2 linked regions of the Danio rerio genome follow. The protein of the gene in region 1 purifies or fractionates together with the protein of each later gene. This does not show direct contact. Links are inferred from orthologs where the notes say so. Each region holds a gene or a part of one and is shown on either strand. Other genes may lie near its edges.

Region 1 (10,640 bases):
CATCTCTACCCACTAACTCCCTCTTTGATTGTATAAACCAATCAAAAACGATGTCATATCTGTCCCTTCTTTTCACGACCAAATGCAATAACTTTCTTCCCCGGCTCCTAATCAATAGCGAAAAAGTCGATTGATTAAAATGTATTTAGTCCTCTGAGATATATGATTCATCATATTTTAGAAGGAAAGGTTACACAATCAAAAAATGAAAGGCCTTCATTAGGTCCGAGGATGATGGAATGAGAAAATCGATGAGTCGCATGGAGGAGGCTTAAGATACTCATTGCATATTTAAAGCAGCATTGACCTGATTCTCACTCTCATTTTTCTCTGAAGTGCCAGAGCACGGGGAACCAAGGGTCATTCGTTTTCATCCTCGAATTCTATGGAGAAAGGCACATCCCTCTCAGTGTTCTCATTCGGGTATTGTAAAATGCCTTTGAAGTGGAAGTTCAGCACTGGAAATCCTCACATCACTTGGAATCTAAAGAGACAGGCGGATTAATTGCTTTGGCAGTGATGCTATCGTTGGTTGGTTGGCTGGGCGTGGGTATACACGACTATGAATGTGCGTGTAGACACCAGCTGATATGGCACTTGTCGTCAAAAAGGCTGTGATATAATCCCCCTTCTCAAAGAGCCGGTATCCAGCTGTGCGTGAAAGAATACGCCAGCAGAGTGCGGGGTCTGAAGCGAGGGGTCAGGGGTCGTCTGTCAGCTTTTAATGTGCTGTTAGCAGTGCAGGAGCATCGGCAGGATACAAGGGACTTAATATGTCTCTGTTAAACTGGCCTGTGCTCTGAATGTGGTTCTCCCATCTTCCCCTCTGGGATATTGCTTCTTTCAGAGATAAACTCTCTTTATGTCACAACTAAAGGACAGGAAGTTCAGCTTGGCCTTGGGTAAGGAAAATGCACAGACCCACATCTGCGAGGCCTGGGTTTGAAGAGATACAAGCTGCAGTTGTGTTTATCAAGGTTTTTATATTTTAGCAGTTTTGTATAAGATTTTATTTCAATACAATTGTACATATGGTGTTACTTTTAGTCTAGTTTTTTATTTTGTGAACGCATTTGTATTTTTGTACAAGTGCACAAGTTTGCGACGTTTGTGAATGTTCGTAACGAATGTTCGAATGTTTGTAACAACAGAATTTGTAACCTTAGTTGGCTAACGATGGTTTTCAGAAACACACCCCTAGTGTATTAGAGTTTTATTAGATCGCAAGGCTGGGGTTAGGGTTAGGGTTAGGTTAAGGCCCAATCCCGATTATACCCCTTAGCCCTTCCCCTTACCCAATTATATTTAGCTTGAAGGTTAGGGCTAAGGAGAGGAGCTAGATAGCCTTCAAACAGAGATTTTTCAGGACCTTAACCAAAAGGTAAGAAATTTTCCCAGAATACACCATCTACAATGGTAGCTTGGCTGGTAATGGATTCTTAATAGCGCTTGTATTTCACCATCATGCTTAAAAAACTCAGCTAAAATAAAAACTGCAAAATTTAGCCCCACAACATTCTGTCACTCAATGACACTCGAATACCCTGTCTGATAAGTCTAATGGCTGGGAATGAGCTTTTTATAGTGTCTGGTGTAATGTTAATGTTGTTTTTATTTGTTTACATAGATGGATATGGCCACGGTGTAAGTGCACAGTACAGATACAAGTTTATAGCCACATTATATAGTATGATGACATGATATATGCCTTTAGTGATTTTCGGAAGATAAATGCCCAAAAGCAACACAACTAGAATAACTACAGCAGTCATGATCGTCTGATCTCATATAAAGCAAGAGATTGCGATGACATATGATGATGTGTGCAGATGTTGTAGTGCTGTTCCATGTCTTGGGGGGTACATTTTGAACCCCTTCCCCTTCACACTCAAGGGGCAAGGGGAATATGAAGGACAAAAATAATACAATAATAGAATTGGGATTGGGCCAAAATGTTGATATGTTACAATTTTTCTTATAGCCTGGAAAATGTCTAATGGTGGAGTGGTTTCAGTAGAGTTTAAGCAAACAGTCTACTGATACTCTAAAATAATTAATTGATATGTAGTTTCAATATTACATAGTCATTAAAATGTGCAATTTGGACAAAGTGATATCAAAATAAAATAATTGTATACACAAACACTGAATCAAAAACTATTAATAGTTAAACAAATAAATGTAAAAAAAAGAATAATTCGGAATTTTTCATATTAAAGATCATGTATGTAAATAAACATACTTTTTTTTGGCAAATTACTATTTATGTATTTTTTTTCTGTTTGTCTGTAAAAGTGCCGGGCGTCACGGTGATGCAAAGGGTGAAACGATTGCCTCACATCAAGAAGGTCACTGGTTCGAACCCGGTTGAATCAGTTGGCATTTCTGTGTGGTACGGGTGAATTGAATAAGCTAAATTGGCCATTGAGTATGTGTAAGAATGAGATGATGTATGGGTGTTTCCCAATGTTGGGTTGTACCTGGAAGGGCATCCTCTGTGTAAAACATATGCTGGATAAGTTGGTGGTGCATTCCGATGTGGCGATTCCTGGTTAATAAAAGGACTGAGCCAAAAAGAAAATGAATAAAAGTAAAAACGCCATCTACAGGTACTTCTCTAAACAGATGCATTTCAAATTTTTTACCACAGCACAGAATAATTGCTTGCTGGTGTAATTATAAACACAATTATTTTGCTAATTATCATTTGATTTAATTTTTTGTGCCTTATTTTAGCTAGTTATAATTTTTCATGTATTGTGGATTTTTTTTTATTATAGCAGTGAACTTATTTTTTATTTTATTGTTATTATTATCAGTGCTATAACATTGCAACACACTAATAACCTTGGTGTGTATATGCTTCATGCCTGATTATAGTTTTTATGAAGTATTTCAAAACTGCATATAAGGCATCTGAATGTATGTGGATAACTTTTCTGGGCCTGTTTTCTGAAATCATTCACATGCATTTTAATTTACTTCTGTCTCTGTGAAGAATTAGAGCTCTAGTTGGAACTAGATGTCCTTTTCTAATAAACGTAATAAGCAGGCATGTAGAAACAGCAAATGTCAAGAGTGATACAGCGTATACAGTATGGAGAGCGCCCGAGCCAAACTGCATACTCATAGATTAAAAGTGTCAATAGAGTTTATTTTCAGTTGACAGAGAAGGAATTGTGGCCTCAAATAGCTGGGACTCAATTGCAAGCAAACCGCATCACATTGATCAAAGCTGATGCCGTGGCAACAGCAGGCAGTAAAATCAGACATACTTACTGGATTTATTAAAATGGGCTGCGAGAACTTGACAAGCTGTAACCCAGTCAGTGTAGATAAACAGGAACATACAAATGGGATTGCTTCAGGAAATGTTCATGGAAATAGTCTTTTGTAATATCCAGCAGTATGCAAATCCAGTTCGTAAATGTTTGGGTACTGCCATGGTAGGGAGTGAAAGACTAAATGAAAGAAGGAACCTTGGAGGAAAATCTGCCTTGTGGTCACATTCACAGCTCCATGGCAAAAATTCATGGGCAAAATCCAGTCACTCAGTGGGAATCCTTTCGATGTAGAGTTTAATGTGAGGGCAAAAAAGAGTTCCCCACATGGTTTGTTTTCAGGTTGGTAACCAATTTTACAAGTTGACTATCATAGAGCTGCTTAGTTTGAGAGCGATTGCCACACTATTGACCGCAGAAATTTTTGACTGAATTTTCACTTGTAAAATCCAGCAATTTCATAAGAAACACATATAATTAGTGCAAAATATTTTGCAATAGGTTTAAGTTGAAAATGCAAAAGTGCCACATTGACCAACACAAAGCTGCTCACTTTTTTAAGTTGAGTTGTCCTTAAATAAATAAAGGAATGAATGAATGATTAAAATAATGAATGAATGAATGAATGAATGAATGAATGAATGAATGAATGAATGAATGAATGACTTCCTTATAAAATTAATAAATAAAAAACATATTATTAACAAAAAAACTATTATTATTATCATTATTATCATTAATGTTATCATTATTATTATTATTATTATATTCAGAACATTTCTCAGTAATGGGTTGCAGCTGGAAGGGCATCTGCTGCATAAAACATAAGCTGGATAAGTTGGTGTTTCATTCAGCTGTGGCGACCACAGATTAATAAAGGAAAGTCGAAATGAAAATAAATGAATAAATATTCAGAACAATCATTGTTTTTATATCGTTGTTTTTTAATAATGTGTTTTTGTAAAGGCACATTTTTATATTGTTTTTACAAACATATGTTCAATTTCCTAATGCTTTTTTTTAATGTATAATTATTTATTTATTCATTTTATTTTATTTTGACATGTCAGATGCTTCACTATACAACTTTTTTTTACTTCTGATCTGTTAAGTAATGATTAAGCAAACATTTATCCAAACTCAAAGTAACTACCATGGTAATATATAGGAACAACCAGGTGAGCAAATTTTTAATTTGATTTAAATGCAGGAAAAAAGTTTGAGGGGTAATTTCTTATTTATTTATTAAGTTATTTTATTTTATTGACTTCAATAACAAACACAAACTTTGACCTTACACAAACAAGTCAATAATAGTAGCAATTGTAATAGGTTAACAGATCAAACAGTAAACATTAAAAACAGGAACAAAAATTAAAAACTAAATAGCCACACATACATAACACAAATACAGCAAAAGGAAAGAAGGACTTATCTGTGATATTTCCAAAATAATTATCATAATAATCCAAGAATCACTTTTTTGTTTTTAACCAATCTAAGAGATTTAATGAAAATATACATTTTTATTATAAAATGTGGAAAAAAAAGAAGGCTGTGAATGCGAAAATTTTTGTTCGTGACTAAAATATTTTCCATACAAAATAAAAAAGTTAGTAATTCTCTGGTATATCGAATTACCGTTATAGTATAAAAATAATAAACTAAACATTTATACTCCATATATAGAAGTAACTTGGTGAACAACCTCTTTAATTAGATTTTTGAAGCTAGATGCAAGTAAAAGTTTGAGGAAGAAAAATTCTTACGTGTCAACACCCCGTGACTGTGACCGTTGAAATCAGGACTGCGCATGCGTCAGTTGTGTCACTAGAATACACCGGGAAGGTCGACGGAGCGCTGCTAGCCGACAAACATGATGTCCATTGCTGCCCGTTCGGGGACTTTTTCCCCGTACCTGCAAGCTACAAATTATGCCGTGGCAGGTCCACTAAAGCCTCTCATAGCCGGCGTCGTCGTGAAGAGTGATAATCTGTTGGTGGACACGAAGAAACCGTTCCTGTGCCGGGAGTCCTTGTCCGGTCAGAGCGCGAAGAGCGGCCTCGCCGTGTCCTCCAGCCTGAACGGTGAGTTTAATAGCGGGCCTCAGTCAATTCGAGATTCCCGGTCTCTGTAGCAAGAGGAGGCCGTGCAGCTAGCGCGCACTCAAGGGCACAGTGAACTCTCATGATTAACGTTGATGTGCTTCGTCAAGTGTCTCAAGAATTTTGTAGTGTTGTACGTTACTAATGCCGAAGTATTATTATTGCAAAGTTTATTTAATACCAACGTATATAACAAAACGGCAGTAGCAGTAGCTCACGTGCTACATCCGTTAGCTTCATTGCTAATGTCCTTGCAGCAGCTAAGACTAGAAGTAAATCAATGTCTGTCTTTTGGGGGGGAAAAAAATAATTGTCATTTAGCCTCACTTTGTACGAATTACGAATGTTATAATAAAATAATTAAGTACGTTTTAGAATTCGGTTCATTTCATTTATGGTTTTGGGTTAAATATAACGTTAGGTAACGTTATTGGGTTTATTATATGACACAACGTCAGGCCTCTTGTTACAAATTTTTGATGTGGATTTCTGTTGCAAATAGATATTTAGATGTTATGTTTCATCAACGTCGGAGTTGAATATTAAGCTGAATATACTGGACATTTGTCAAGTTTTCGACATTCACAGCCACAGTGACCTCCCTTCCTTTAAACTTGTATATGTATGTATGTGTGTGTATATATATATATATATATATATATATATATATATATATATATATATATATATATATATATAAAACATAAGGTGGCTTTTTAAATCAGGCCTTGAGATATGCATGTGTTCATGTTGTCATTGTAGTGACACTGAAATCACCATGAGCATCACAGGTGTCTGCAATTTATTCGTTCAGAGATTTGTCAAGTTGTAGTTTGATATTCAGAAAAGATTTATGTGCCACACTATATTTACTATGTTTATTTATATTATATAAAATAATGATGATAAACAATATATACACACACACACAAACATGTATATTATACATAGAGGTAAAATTGGTTTTATATCCGCACATTCTGACTTTCTCCTTAATAATATAATTTCATAAAAGTATTATTTGCAAAATCTGTATAGTGAAATCATATTAGCAGCCAATGACTATAAAAGTACAACATTGTTCACAGTCAAATAAACAGTGTTAATGTTGTTTTCAAATCACACTTGCAGGTTATTTTAGACCGAATATTTTAAGTGCTATAGTAAACAATAAAGGGAGTTGTCACTGAATAAATGTGTTAATATAAAACCAACTTTACCTCTGTTTTATATGGGATCTGCTTTATTATTATTTGCATCGTGGAACTCATAGGGCCGTATGTCAGTTTATTGTTCTGCTACTATTTCATGTGCCATTCAATGCACATTTTTTAGTATTTCTAATCTGTTTATTTAGTTCTGTTATTATTGTTTGTTTTTCCATTTTGTAGCTCGCTCTTCAGTACGCTTCGCTCACACAGACATCAAGATCCCTGATTTCTCTGACTACCGCCGGCCAGAAGTTTTGAACCCAAATAAGCAGTCGCAAGAGAGTGGTGATGCCCGGCGGGCCTTCTCCTATCTGATGACGGGGTCTACCCTTGTGGTTGGAGTCTATACAGCCAAGACAGTCGTTACACAGTTTGTGTCCTCTATGAGTGCCTCAGCTGACGTTTTGGCTTTGTCCAAGATTGAAATCAAGCTGGCAGACATCCCTGAGGGTAAGAACATGACCTTCAAATGGAGAGGGAAGCCCCTGTTTGTCCGCCACAGAACAGAGAAGGAGATCGAGACTGAGGCTGGCGTCAATCTCGCTGAGCTTCGGGACCCTCAGCACGACAAAGACCGTGTTGTGAACCCGTCCTGGGTTATCGTCATTGGTGTCTGCACCCATCTGGGCTGTGTGCCTATTGCTAATGCCGGTGAATTCGGCGGTTATTACTGCCCGTGCCACGGCTCTCATTATGATGCATCTGGTCGCATCAGGAAAGGCCCTGCTCCGCTCAATCTGGAGGTGCCCTACTATGAGTTCCCAGATGACGACACAGTGGTTGTAGGATAAAGGACTGTACTACATTAACTATGATCCACACAGACCGTGTGCTTTGCGTGTTTGATTTTTGTTCATCTTGTTTCAGACACACTATCTGCATTGACTCGATGGGTAACAAAGGTTAATTGTAAGTAATAAAATGTATTTTATCTGATGGAATCTTCACTCAGCTCTATTTATTCAGACTCGATATACAAATTGTTTAACGGAGTCACTTGGGTTGTCTAATTTTATGCATTGCAGGTTTTTCAGATAAGGAACAAATTAGATCTGTAGGATATAATTGTTAAAGTGATGTTGGCAAAAACAACAAAGTCAGGTGGGTGATGTGTGCAGGGAGTAGGTGGAAAACAAAGTGCAGTTTACCATACATAATCAATGAAATAGCTTTTGCACCAATATTTTGTCATTGGTAAATGTAATAACTGTTTGAGGCTAGGTTTCAGATGAAACCATTAAAAAGAGTGAAATATGGACACGTTGAGTGTTCTGTTCCTGATTGTCTGTGGGTAAACCACTTTAGTAAAGCTGAAAAAAATATTCACCAGGTTCATGCTGTCTTTTACATTTCTTAAAAATCTATTTTAAGACATAAAAAAGATAAAACCAAATCTATGATGCATGTGAGAATATGATGATTGTGGTAATCATGATTGATTTTAAACGCATTAAAAAGCAAAGACTGAACAAGAACAAGATGTTTTATTTGCTCTACGGGCCATACTGACTTGATATCTGCAGTCATTTCAAATTCAGGAACAGTTTTATTTAATGAGTGTGCATCAGTTTAAAGCTACATGTTTACAAAGGAAAAAAAGCAAACAATGTTTTATTTATTTATTTTTATGCTTCTACCGTCATTGATTACTCCCACAGCACTAGTCCAGGTAGCCACAAAACATTAATTGATTTTATTGGCGTTAGCCCTTTTTCTCTTCCCTCTTCCTCAATTAGCTTTTAGTGTTTAAAAGTAGAAAACAAAAAGCTCACAGGCCATTCTGAAAAAGTGGACTACAGATTTTACACTAATTTATCATTCAACATTTTGAGGCCTTGCCACCAAAACAGAAGCCTTTTGTTAAATAATGTAAGAACTTTGTTTAAATGCTACTGGGTTGTAATTTTCAATTTGGGACATATTTTGAAATATCGCAACAAGTATTCTAGTATACTATTTTGTTCTGACTAGAAATATGGAGAATCCTTATTTAACATACAAATAAAATACATGTTTATAAGGATGCACAATGGTTAAAATTGATTCTAATAATCTCAATATGTAAAGCAAAACAGGACAGTTTGTCTTGAATGAAAGTCGTTCTTTTGATTTCACGTGATTGAAGTGGCATCAATTAAACATGAAATACTTAAAGCTAAGAAGCTAATGCATCTTGTACATTTGAATTGGAATCTCAATATGAATTGCATGCGTTTACTATTCTGCCATTTTTTTATTTATTTTTTCAGAAACCCAGAGTTTCCACATGAAGTCAATTGCTATATACTTGTAATGTGCTCTTGTGAGGCGACACAAAGACAGGTAAACAGTAGCGTTCCTCTCATCCAGATATTATTTGAATAGACGTTTCAGGGCCATATTATCATATAGAGTAGCTTTTCTCCGTGGGTGCATTTGTGTTTGAATGTCTGAGAAATGCGTCGGACATGTCTGCGGGTTAATAGAGTTGATATGCTCCTTTGCTGGGCTGCACAGAGCTTCAGTAGACCTTCGAGGTGAAACCGTTAATTCATACCAGCATATTGATGCCACTTGACTCGGGCACAAAGCATACGCTTCATCTGGAACATTTTGTGTAACCTAACAATTCAGGTTTGCCTTTTTATGATTGTGCCACTTCTATTACTTCTATTAGCTTGTCTTTTTTTTTTTTTTTTTTTTTTTTTAAACATCTTTTTCACTGAATGCATCTAGGTATCGCCTGAACATTCACTGATTTCATTTTCTTGCAAGCTCTGGGTATTTTAATATATTTAATTCACTTGATTGCCGTTTTCTCTGCCTTCCTCTGAGCATCCACTACTTATGACATGCAACCTGCTCAGTCGTCCTGGAGTCCTCAGCTCATGCCAGGTCTTGCTGCCAGCAGCTTGGCCGACATTCAGGCCTGACTGATAAAATCACGAGGTCCCGGGGGTTGTCAGGGTACCATTGTGTATCAGCGGAAAATCACGGAGATCCCTGGCTCCAACATACTTATTTAGTATCCAACAGCAATCACTTTATTGGACTAATTTCTGGGCAAAAAGTCAGTCGGAAGGAAATAATTTTCACATTTTACTTTCTTTTATTAGTTTAACCCTTGCTCTGTTCAAACATCCACTAAATTAAACAAAAAATGCATTAGATTATTATCTATTATTAATTATCTGTTAATCAACCTCAGTCCTGATCAAGACTACTAAATGTTTTTTTGTTTGTTTTTAAATACAGGATTTTAACTCTTTCATTGCCAAGTTTACAAATTATGTCACTGATTTGTTGGGAAAAAAACACATAACATGAAAAATGACATTTTTAATATAAAAGAAATTGTGGACTTTAAGTTTCACATGTTTCTTGGACATGTAAAAGATTAGTAACGGCATTGCCTTTGATGTATTGTTAGTTTTTTTGCAGCATTTAATTTAATTTTTTCTCCCTATTATACTGTTGGTGACTATTTTTGCCCATTAGCTTCCATTATAACCACATTTCGCATTTGCAAAACCATGAAAACTAAACCATCACAAAATGCATATAATCAACATTTTAATTGTTGCTGTTTTTTCCTGTTGGGAAAAGATACAATTTTGTAATGTTTACTGTTTAGCATCGGTTGGCACCATTAAACTTTTAGATAGGTTTGTGAAAAAAAAAAAAAAAGTTTAGTGGGATGATTTTTATGTGGAGTTTTATGAAGTATAACAGCAAATTAAAGTGTGTATGTGTGTCTGAGAGTGTGACAGTGACCTTTGTGTATTTGATGCATCTGAGGAAATCAAACCATCCATCTCATCTCTCAGAACTACATGTAGTAAACAAAATAAAGACTGGTATTTATTCATGGCTCCCTTTTGATGTTGAGAATCATTTACATCATTAATGAATTTGTCAATTAAAGAGTTAAAATTCTGTAATTTTTTTAAACAATTTTGTAGTTTTGATCAAGACTGAAAATGCTTAACAGATTTATGGCAAAAAAATATATATTTTTATATATAAACGTTTTCATCCGGAGTATAACAAGATGTAGTAAATTT
Region 2 (10,715 bases), on another chromosome or scaffold:
ACACTCATCTTTTGAATTAGACAACAAAACTATATTCTGTTATAATATCCAATAAATAAGCCACAGTGCAGCTGACAACAACAAACAAACAAATAAATCAGTGCTATAACGAGCAGTAGCTCAAGAACGGCTCTTCTGTGTTATGTGAAGCACAATAAACTATTGACTTGAACAGCATCAGGGATTCTGTACCAAGCTCAACCCAGCTCTATTGTACAGCAAGAATTCACACATGATATACAGCCTGCCAGTGTTCTCTCAGTATTATATGCAGTTGATAAATAAACATATGAAATATGAGCAATAACAATTAATAACTGATAGATAATAGATATCAAATACATTTTTTTTTATCTGTGTGAACTGCAAGTTTCTGCAGATCGTAACGGGCCATGAAACCCCCTTGTTTCAGCAGGGTGTTTTCACACCTCTACTTTGGAAAAAAGTGGGCGTGTCCAGCTCTGTTTAGGGGGGAGTGTCGGAGGAGGGAAAAAGGCAAGGTCCGTAAAAATTTGCATAATTAGCAGCCAATGACTAGCAAAGTACGGCATTGCTTACAGTCTATCAGATAGTGTTGATGTTGTTTTGAAGTCATCCTCGCATGCTAATTCTGATTGAATATTCAAATTAGCGTGGAAGACAATATAGAGACTTCTAAATGAACGAATGTGCGAATATGAAACCAACTTTACCTCAATCATATCATGTCATAGTTTAGAAATCATATATCAAACTATTGATTTTTTCCGAAATCAGTCAGTTGTGAAGAAGAGTTAAAGTTGGCTTCATATTGGGATATTTAGACATTCTGCTTAATAATATAATATTAGAAAAGTATTCTTTGCAAATTCTAAATTGGGAAATCATATTAGCAGCCAATGACTAGCAAAGTACAGCCATGTTTACAGTCAATCAGATAGTGTTGATGTTGTTTTGAAGTCATCCTCGCATGCTAATTCTGATTGAATATTGAAATTAGCGTGGTAGACAATATAGAGACAACAAAATGAACGAATGTGCGAATATAAAACCAACTTTACCTCAATCAAATTGTGAAATGTTGTGTATGAATTACAAGAAATGTCAAATTGTTTGACAAAAACTCAAAATAATCTCAAATGAAATTAATGGTGTTACAATTATGATGAATCTGGTCAAAATTGGTAATTGTAAAGTTTGATGAAAACACCGTTATTTAGGGTAAGAAACAAACAAGTAGAGGTAAAGTTTGTTTTATATTCGCACATTCGTTAATTTAGAAGTTTCTATATTGTTTGGCATGTTACTTTGAATATTCGATCGGAATTAGCATGCAAGTTTGACTTCTAAACAACATTAACACTATCTAATTCACTGTGAACAATGTTGTACTTTGCTGCTAATATTCATTCATTTTCTTGTCGGCTTGGTCTCTTTATTAATCCGGGGACGCCACAGCGGAATGAACCGCCAACTTATCCAGCAAGTTTTTACGCAGCGGATACCCTTGCAGCCGCAACCCATCTCTGGGAAATGCTGCTAATATAATTTCCCTATTTATAATTTGCAAAATACACTTTTCTGAAATTATATTATTAAGGGAATGTCTGAATATCCGAATATAAAACCACCGTTACCTCTACAGACATTAGTATGTTATAATTGACGACACGCATAATATCCATATGGTGCAAATGAATGAAACTCCGCTGTTTTCTCTTAGTGACTGTATCAACACGCCTACAGTTACTTTTCTCGACACAATACAGTTAACTTAACGGACACATGACCCGCTGTCGCCACCGCACATCTATACTGTTGCTGTTTAACGGAGCAGCTTGTCCAAACCCACTCGAGTTGCCCGGAGTCTCACACAGAGCCGCGAGGGTGTTTGGGAGACCGCGCCGCGCTGCTCACCTTCTCTCCGGGGTTCAGCACATCTGGGCTGCGGCTCCGTGCGCTCTCCTCGGCGGACAGAGGGTGGCAGATCTCCTGGATGGACTTCTGCCCGGAGGAGGGCAGTGATCGCGGGGTACCGCCGTTGCTCATGGCGCTGCACTGCTCTGATCGCGCAGCTGTTTTTATTTCACTGCCGCACGAACCGAACCGAGGAGCCAAACATCTGTCAGCTGACGGACACCGCGCAGAACCGGAACACAACCGGTCAGCTGACGCGGAACACTTCCGGAAAAAAAGCACCTGTTTTCAAATTAAAAGCCCAACTTTTTCGCTTAAAAGTCTTCAAATATTCTGATGGTTTATTTGACTTTTTATTATTAACAATAGGCGAAGCGGTGGCACAGTGGGTGGTGCTGCGGTCACTTCACAGCTAGAAGGTCACTGGTTCGAGCCTCGGCTGGTTCAGTTGGTATTTCTGTGTGGAGTTTGTATGTTCTCCACGTGTTTGGTAAGTTAAATTGTCTGTAGTGTACGTGCGTGAATGAGAGTGTATGGAGGTTTTCCAGTGATGGGTTGCGGCTGGAAGTGCATCCGCTGCATAAAACATATGCTGGATAAGTTGGCGGTTCATTCCGCTGTGGCGACCCCAGATTAATAAAGGGACTAAGCCGAGAAGAAAATGAATGAATGTTATTCTTAATTTATTAACTAAATTAGCTGGATAAGTTGGAGGTTCATTCCACTGTGGCGACCCCAAATTAATAAAGGGACTAAGCCGAAATGAATGAATGAATGAATAAAGATTTGTTTGCGATAAATAATAGTTTTATTTTAATTTTATTTTAATAATAGTTTTATTTTAATAATAGTTTTATTTTAATTTTATTTTAATAATAGTTTTATTTTAATTTTTCGCATTTGCGCAGTTCTGAACAGCAGGTGTCGCTAGTGTCTGAGTTCTGAACGCTTCGAATCCCTGAATCATTTGGCAAAGCTGCTGATTCGAATCTTTGAGGAAAAAAAGCTTCGTTTCTCCCTTCACTAGGCGGCAGTGATGTGTTACTGTGACTGAAGAAAACACAGAGGAAACAAAAGCAGAAGAAACACTCCCTCCATGTGGACGTGGTCTGTTTCTGGAGAAGCTTGAGCTGGCAGTCGCGAGAGTAAGGTATGTTATAGGAATTTATTTGTAAATGTAGAGAGAGTAACATTAACGTTACATTTAGCCGACTGTTTTTGTTGTTATGTGCATAAATATTGATTTTCTTTTATCTGACCCAATGATTAAACACACTACCCATCTGACCCTGAGCAGGGGAAAGATTTAGTTTACTCTTATATGAGGGTCAGTTTAATAACATATTTTTGTTAAAAGCATGAAAGTGGTTTTATTTTGGTTTTATTTACTGAAATGTTTTCTTCGTTGTGTTTCATTTTCAGACAAAGGATCGAGTGTCCGGGCGAGAAACACGTGCGCCAGATTCAGCTCATCTCTTAATAAACGTTTTATAAAATATAAATGTTCCCTTTCTTGTGTTGTGGTGTTTAATTTGTACTTTTATGCTGTTCTGGTCTGTGAAATCCAATAAATTTGTTTTTTAACACATTTGTGTTGGTATTGCGTGAATTATGTTCCCTACAAAGACTTGTTTAAGTTATACACTTTGCAAACTAATTGCAAGTCTTACAAAGTGCAATGTGATTTGTTTAAATAGATAGATAGATTTAGAGAAATAGATCTCTCCCTCTCTCTCTCTCTCTCTCTCTCTCTCTCTCTCTCTCTCTCTCTATATATATATATATATATATATATATATACATACACATACAGGGTGGGTATGGATACACCTTAATAAACTTATTAGGAATTTCACAAGATGATTGTGTGCTTAGTTTTAAATGTAGCTTCATTCTTTCGTGTGTTATTTACAAACCCCCTCACATATAATAAAGTGCCACAAACAGGACGTTGATATCACCAACCTTTCCCATTTTATTAAGGTGTATCCATATAAATTGCCCACCCTGTGTGTGTGTGTGTATATATATATATATATATATATATATATATATATATATATATATATATATATGTGTGTGTGTGTCTATATATATATGTGAGTGTATGTATATATGTACAGTATATACACCACACAAAGCATCGTGGTGTACGATAAAAGTTTTCTATTTAAAAGTTTTTTTCTATTTCGAATTTGGCATCCTACAACACAACATGTTTTCGTTTACCTGTGTGACGTAGGTTGGTATTTCCTTTATAGGTGAATTGAGTTAACTAGAAAGATATATTTCTGTACATTTTTTGCTCTCAATCTTATCGTTAACTTTTTTGTGTTACATTGTACATATTTTTATGCACAAAAAAAAGTTCTCAGACAATAGCTATATTTAATATTTTCTTGGCTGAAATTTGGTTTATTGTTGAATCTCTTAAACTTACTAATAATAAGAAAAATAACATGCTTCTTAAAGCTTATGATGACCATCGATTGAGGCATTGTATGTATATATATATATATATATATATATATATATATATATATATATATATATATATATATATATATATACATACATACATAGTTACTTTACAATTATATTAATAATGTGACGTTTTATTTACCGGTTATATTTCTTTGTTTATATATATATATATATATATATATATATATATATATATATATATATATATATATATATATATATATATATATATATAAGCAAAAAAGATTTTTTAAAAAATAATATAAACAAAAAATATATAAACAAGAAAGCTAAATAAATATAAAAAATCCACTCTTTCTCCAGTCCAGCAGGTGTCGCCGCACAGCCTCACAGTAGCAAACACCTTCTGAAGAACAAGACTTCTGCATGATGGGGACACGCTTGAAGGTGAGAAACAACAGAACTGTACTGTAAATCATTGCTTACTAGAATTATACTGTACATTTATTTGCATTTGATAAGCATAGCAATTAATCGCGAACCTTGTAAATGCCTTTGCTGATGTTAAATTAAATAAAAAGACGAGCACAGATTAATTATATTATAAAATAATGCGTATAATCAATGTTTTCATATTAATAATTATTATTAATATAATGTATTCCATAAGGTGCTCCGGGTGTTCAAAGATCTGCACAGGACCAGAAGAGATGTTTTTAGAGATGATAACAGAGCTCTGACAGGTATCAGCCAGTATTTTAGTCAGCCTTAAACATTATACCTGTAGTATAGTATAGACAGTATCTATTTGTACTTCTCTTATACTGTTTGTAGTTATTGCTTTTTATACACTTGCATTGTCAAATACAAGTTTATTTATTTTATGTGTGGTTCTTTTGTTAGGAATGTTATTTTCCTACAAGATTGTAGTTTCTGTCCTGTTTTTTTTCACTTGTTTATGTTCCAAATCTAAATATTGTCAAATTAATCAATGTTTTATTTATTTAAATAGTGTGTTTGTCTTGTCTCAGTAAGTTTTTTTTCTTCTTTGGCTACGAAGCTGCCAGGGTTAAAATAAATGAAGAATTTAAAAGAAACAAGAATGAAACGTCAGATGATAATATTAAAGAGGTAAGTCCCATAAGAACCCCTGTTTTTGCTTTTTAATGAAAGTTGAATAAATGCGAAAGTTTGCGACTTTTATCTTAAAATTGCAAGTTGCTCTTGGAGGTGCTGGTTCTTAAAAAACTCAAGTACATAATAATAATATTAAATAATATTAATAATAATTCAGGCGAGGCAGTGGAGCAGTAGGCAGTGCTGTCACCTCACAGCAAAAAGGTCACTGGGTCAAGCCTCGGCTCAGTTGGTGTTTCTGTGTGGAGTTTGCATGTTCTCCCTGCCTTCGCGTGGGTTTCCTCTGGGTGCTCCGGTTTCCCCCACAGTCCAAAGACATGCGGTACAGGTAAATTGGGTAGGCTAAATTGTCCGTAGTGTATAAGTGTGTGTGTGGATGTTTCCCAGAGATGGGTTGCAGCTGGAAGGGCATCCGCTGCGTAAAAACTTGCTGGATAAGTTGGCGGTTCATTCCGCTGTGGTGACCCCGGATTAATAAAGGGACTAAGCCGACAAGAAAATGAATGAATGAATAATAATAATTAATTTTATTTGAAAATGGCACCTTTCTAGACACCCAAGGTCGCCTTACAATAAGCGTCAACAGCCATACTAGAACAAATTAAAACATATAATGAAACATTACCAAACAAGCATTGGCCAAACATGTATAAACACACATTGTTAATATAAAAATAACATGATAAAAAACAAAGCCTGCTTAAAAAGATGGGTCTTTAGACGAAATTTAAATGTGTTAAAACTATCACTGCCTCTTAGATCCAGGGGAAGCGAGTTCCACAGAGTTGCACAGAACAACATGAGCATTTATAGCAAATAAACAAATGTAAATATCCCGCTCGGTTTATGAGCCCTGTTGAGCGAGTTCTTACACTCCTATGAACTCGCTCTGCAGACACGCTCGTGTCTGTATCCAGAAGTATCACTGTAACAGCCGAGAGGAGAGGAAAAGTCATGCCAGCAGGTCAAATGTTCACAGTGAGAGAGAGAGAAATGAAGTTTACGTCCATTTTCTCAATCGCAGTGAAATAGAGGCTTCTACTGTTACTTCAGTGTTAGGTAATGACTGTCCAGCAAACACGCAGTGAAGAGTTTCTGCTCTTTAATTACTCGCGGTCGCCTCCCTCGCCATAGTAAGCTGCTCTGAAATAGCACATATAAACTTTCGGCTTGGTTTTTCAGACTTTGCTCACATACGGTTATTAGCGTACTATATAGTATGGAAGTATGCGATTTTGGACTCAAGTTTTTAGCCTTAGTTTTAGCCTTAGTTTCTAAATTGTGAGGGGAAAAGTAGTTTCAAAGTATACAAAGTTTTTGTATTTTTTTTTTTTTAATTCTGTGGCAGACGCATGTTTCTAAAAAACACGAATAATAGGAGAAACAAAGCTTTAAAAAAATGCTAATATTATTTTGCACTTTCTTTTCAGATGCTTAAAATGGCACGAGCGGTTGAGACCATTCTTCGTGAAAGTGTAATCCAGGCAGAGCATGTGGATGAAAATAAAATCGGTACGTAATTATGTAGACCAGTGGTTCTCAAACTTTTTTTACCAAGTACCACCTCAGAAAAAAATATTGCTCCAAGTACCACCATAATGACCTGTTAGCACAGGGATATAAAAACACGGGATACGACCCCAACAACTATTACAAATATGGGGAGGAATTTAGCTTCAAATGATAGAATACATAACAAACATTAGAAAATTAAAAATAAAACAAAAGGTTTAGCCTATTAAAATCAATTTACTAATCACATCAGTGTCATCGTACACGATAAAGGGTTAAAAGTGTTTTTTTTTTTTACTTTAATTATTTAGCGATTACTTCGCGTACCACTTGAAGGAAGCCTGTGTACCACTAGTGGTAGGCGTACCACAGTTTGAGAACCACTGATGTAGACAGTTGTACGTAGACAATAGTTTTTTTGCTGTGAACATCAGCTAGTAGAATTATTTTTAAAGATTGAAACAACATTTATGCTGTGTTCACACCAAACGAGGAACGTTCGAATAAAACGCGTTATTTGCACGTAAATAGACGAGTGAACATTTGAGTTTACGCTCTTAATTGGCGCATCAATATCCGGTTCATTCGCACGTCAAAATCACTTCACAACAGACACTGATTCGCGTGATGGGCAGGGCTTCTGTCTGCCTGGTGACTGTAGCTTCATTGCTAAATGGCTAACATGGATTTTATTAAGCTGTGTTTAGGTGCTTTATGAAGGCTGAAAAACAGCATTGATTTGTTTGGAGCAGTGTCTGGGTCCACTAAATCCTTTCAGAGGTGCACCCAGCTCTGTGAGCTCATAAACTCCTCCAGAAACAACCTGGATGATGGAAGCTTTCAGCGGGGCTTCTGACTGAGCCGAGTAGAGTTTGATAAACTGTTGTCAGTGTAGGCTGGAGGATTTTCCTCCGGTACCTCAACAAAAGGCGCTACGTCATAATCACGCCCCCACAAGAGCAAGCTCCTGATTGGTTAACGCGGCGCGAATGTTAAGTTCAGTTCATATATTCGAACTTGAGTGATTCACTCGAAACGCGTGTTAAGCGCTAAACACTCAATTCACGCTGTGTCATTCGTGCATATCACGCCATTTGCACTGCGTTATTCGCGCGTATCGCACCGCAGGATGTCTGTTCTCACCTTTGCATTGGCTTAACATGTAAATCACTCGCACTTGATGCTTCTTCTGCAACTGGTGTGAACGCAGCATTAGAATCACCCCCTACGTTCACCTCAAATTACCAAAGTCTGTGTGAAATCAAATTTTACAGTGTTTATTTTGCTAGCCCAAAACACCTTGTTATTCTTTAGGTCAGGGGTCACCAATCCTGGTCCTGGAGGGCCGGTGTCCCTGCAGGGTTTAGCTCCATCTTGCCTCAACACACCTGCCTGGATGTTTCAAGTATACCCAGTAAGACCTTAATTAGCTTGTTCAGGTGTGTTTGATTAGGGTTGGAACTAAAATCTGCAGGACATCAACCCTCCAGGAACAAGTTTGGTGACCACTGCTTTAGGTCAATAAACTGTTTTGGTAATCGTCAGTTAAAGTTTAACCATTTGCTTCTGTGTTTGGAGTGGTGGTCCGTCTCTGTTGATGTCAGTTTGGTGGTTTCAGCCACAATATTCTTAGCTATGCCCCTCATAGTTTGCCATGTGAAAGATGGAAAGAAAAGGAAAGCCCCGCCCCTAATCGATATCCTGTTTTAATTGAAAGTAGATCAACAAACTGAAACAAGTCTCAGCAACTACTGGCTCACACCATACCTGCCACTCACCTGATGTGGTAATGCCCATATATCAATCATTATTGGTGGGCGGGGGGACCGCACTCCTACGTCAAGTTACGTTCGGTCTCAAAGCCCCTCTAATTGGTCCACCGTTTTTATGTTGTTAAATTGAAAAAAAAGGACTAGGTGTGTTTATATTACCCCAATATGACGGTCAATACACTATACCTACACACACGTCTGTCCAAACAGCTTGAAAAGTAGATTTTTCACCATAGGTGCCCTTTAAGCAATGTAATAAAATGTTATCAATTGTTATACTTAAGCTAATAAGATGTATAAAGTGTCCAGGTTTTTAAAACTGACTGATTGTTTCCTCTGGCTAAAATGTATTTCTTATATTTGCAGTGTTGCGGCCGCGGAAGAGTCTCCTGCTAGAAAACGTACCTTACTGTGATGCACCCAGTAAAAAGACATGACCCGGATTTACCTGCATGACCCAGGTCTATCTGTGATATTGGACGATGAAACGCAGTCATAAAGATGACTCAGTATTCTTCCATATTTCATTTCCACTGGAATATCACACACAAGCTACAAAAAACGTGTATATTTGGTGAGGCTGATGTTATTGTGCTCAATATAAAGCATTGAATTGCCACTTTGTAAATAGCATTTGTATGGATAAAAGTGTTGAATAAACTGGAAAAGAAAAGGGATTATTCAGACAGAATTGTGTCTCTTTTGTGTGCTAACGTGATTTACATTATGATTTTTCATATTTACCTGTTGCTAACATGTTTATAACATGCTTTAACATCTAGTGAACAGGTTTCGGCACATTGTAAACATGAATTAGCATGTTGCTAACATGTTTCTACCTTGTTTAACATGTTTTCTACATGAATTAGCATCCAAGGGTTAATGTTACACTAGTATGTTTATATTATAAACTTACTAGCCTAACATTAACTTTAACACCTTTATAATGCTTTACCAGTTTTCAGGATACATCATCCATATGCACTGGGACGCATCGTCAGTGGTGTATCCTGGAGTCACTAGTTGTTTCGGGTTTTACATTTATTTACTGAATGCAAGCCACATTATTAAAACACAATAGTTTCTGAAACTTATGACAAAAGTAAATGTTAATTCTGGTAAATATATTTTTTTAATTAATTGAAACATAAAAAATTATGATACAACATCTGTAGGCATAATCGAGGTACCACTTTTAAAGAGGTTTATTACCCTCATGGTCTTCACATTTGTTTATATGGTCCATAAGACGCTGTATTTAAAACAGACAAACAAAAAAAATCACATTTTCCACAATAGTCAACTCATGTCTATTCATTTAAAGAATGTAAAATACTTTTGAAATTTCTCTTAAGGAAATGCCTTTATAGATTAAATCATTTCTGTCATTATTAAGTACATACAAAGTACATCACCACAAAAACAATCATAACCATTAAAACTGAAAGGAATGTGTAGATTCTACAGCACGTCTTCATCTTGAGGGATCTCAGAATATGAGTTTCTTCGGCTTTTCCCAAGGAAATCCTTCACGTCCAAAGTGTCCATAGCAGGCTGTTTTCTGGTAGATTGGTTTCTTTAGATCAAGCTCCCTGTAAAAAGAAATTATTCCTTAATTAAAGCTGTCAAACTTATCATAAGTAAGTTTTAATAAAAACTTCAAACTTATCATAAAAAATTCTGTTGCCTATTTAATAACATGCATATAATATGAAAGGGTAATTTTCCATATTATTCATTCATTCATACATTTTCTTGTCGGCTTATTCCCTTTATTAATCCGGGGTCGCCACAGCGGAATGAACCGCCAACTTATCCAGCAATTTTTTACACAGCGGATGCCCTTCCAGCCACAACCCATCTCTGGGAAACATCCACACACATTCACACACACACTCATACACTACGGACAATTTGGCCTACCCAATTCACCTGTACCGCATGTCTTTGGAC

What was found.
Region 2: the proteins of uqcrfs1 (region 1) and lyrm7 purify together in Homo sapiens (co-immunoprecipitation; 5 studies listed by BioGRID and IntAct, with this or other methods). This does not show direct contact. The link is inferred for Danio rerio from reciprocal best matches to the Homo sapiens genes UQCRFS1 and LYRM7.

The regions. Positions count from the first base shown.
Region 1 is NC_133182.1:45,936,916-45,947,555, forward strand, and holds uqcrfs1 (cytochrome b-c1 complex subunit Rieske, mitochondrial), read left to right. Parts: upstream 1-5,118; 5' UTR 5,119-5,157; coding exon 5,158-5,368; intron 5,369-6,777; coding exon 6,778-7,388; 3' UTR 7,389-7,919; downstream 7,920-10,640.
Region 2 is NC_133185.1:5,434,270-5,444,984, forward strand, and holds lyrm7 (complex III assembly factor LYRM7), read left to right. Parts: upstream 1-4,750; 5' UTR 4,751-4,767; coding exon 4,768-4,788; intron 4,789-5,011; coding exon 5,012-5,084; intron 5,085-5,401; coding exon 5,402-5,472; intron 5,473-6,908; coding exon 6,909-6,990; intron 6,991-9,128; coding exon 9,129-9,199; 3' UTR 9,200-9,450; downstream 9,451-10,715. Other genes in the region: mat2al (methionine adenosyltransferase II, alpha-like), read right to left, coding at 10,252-10,354.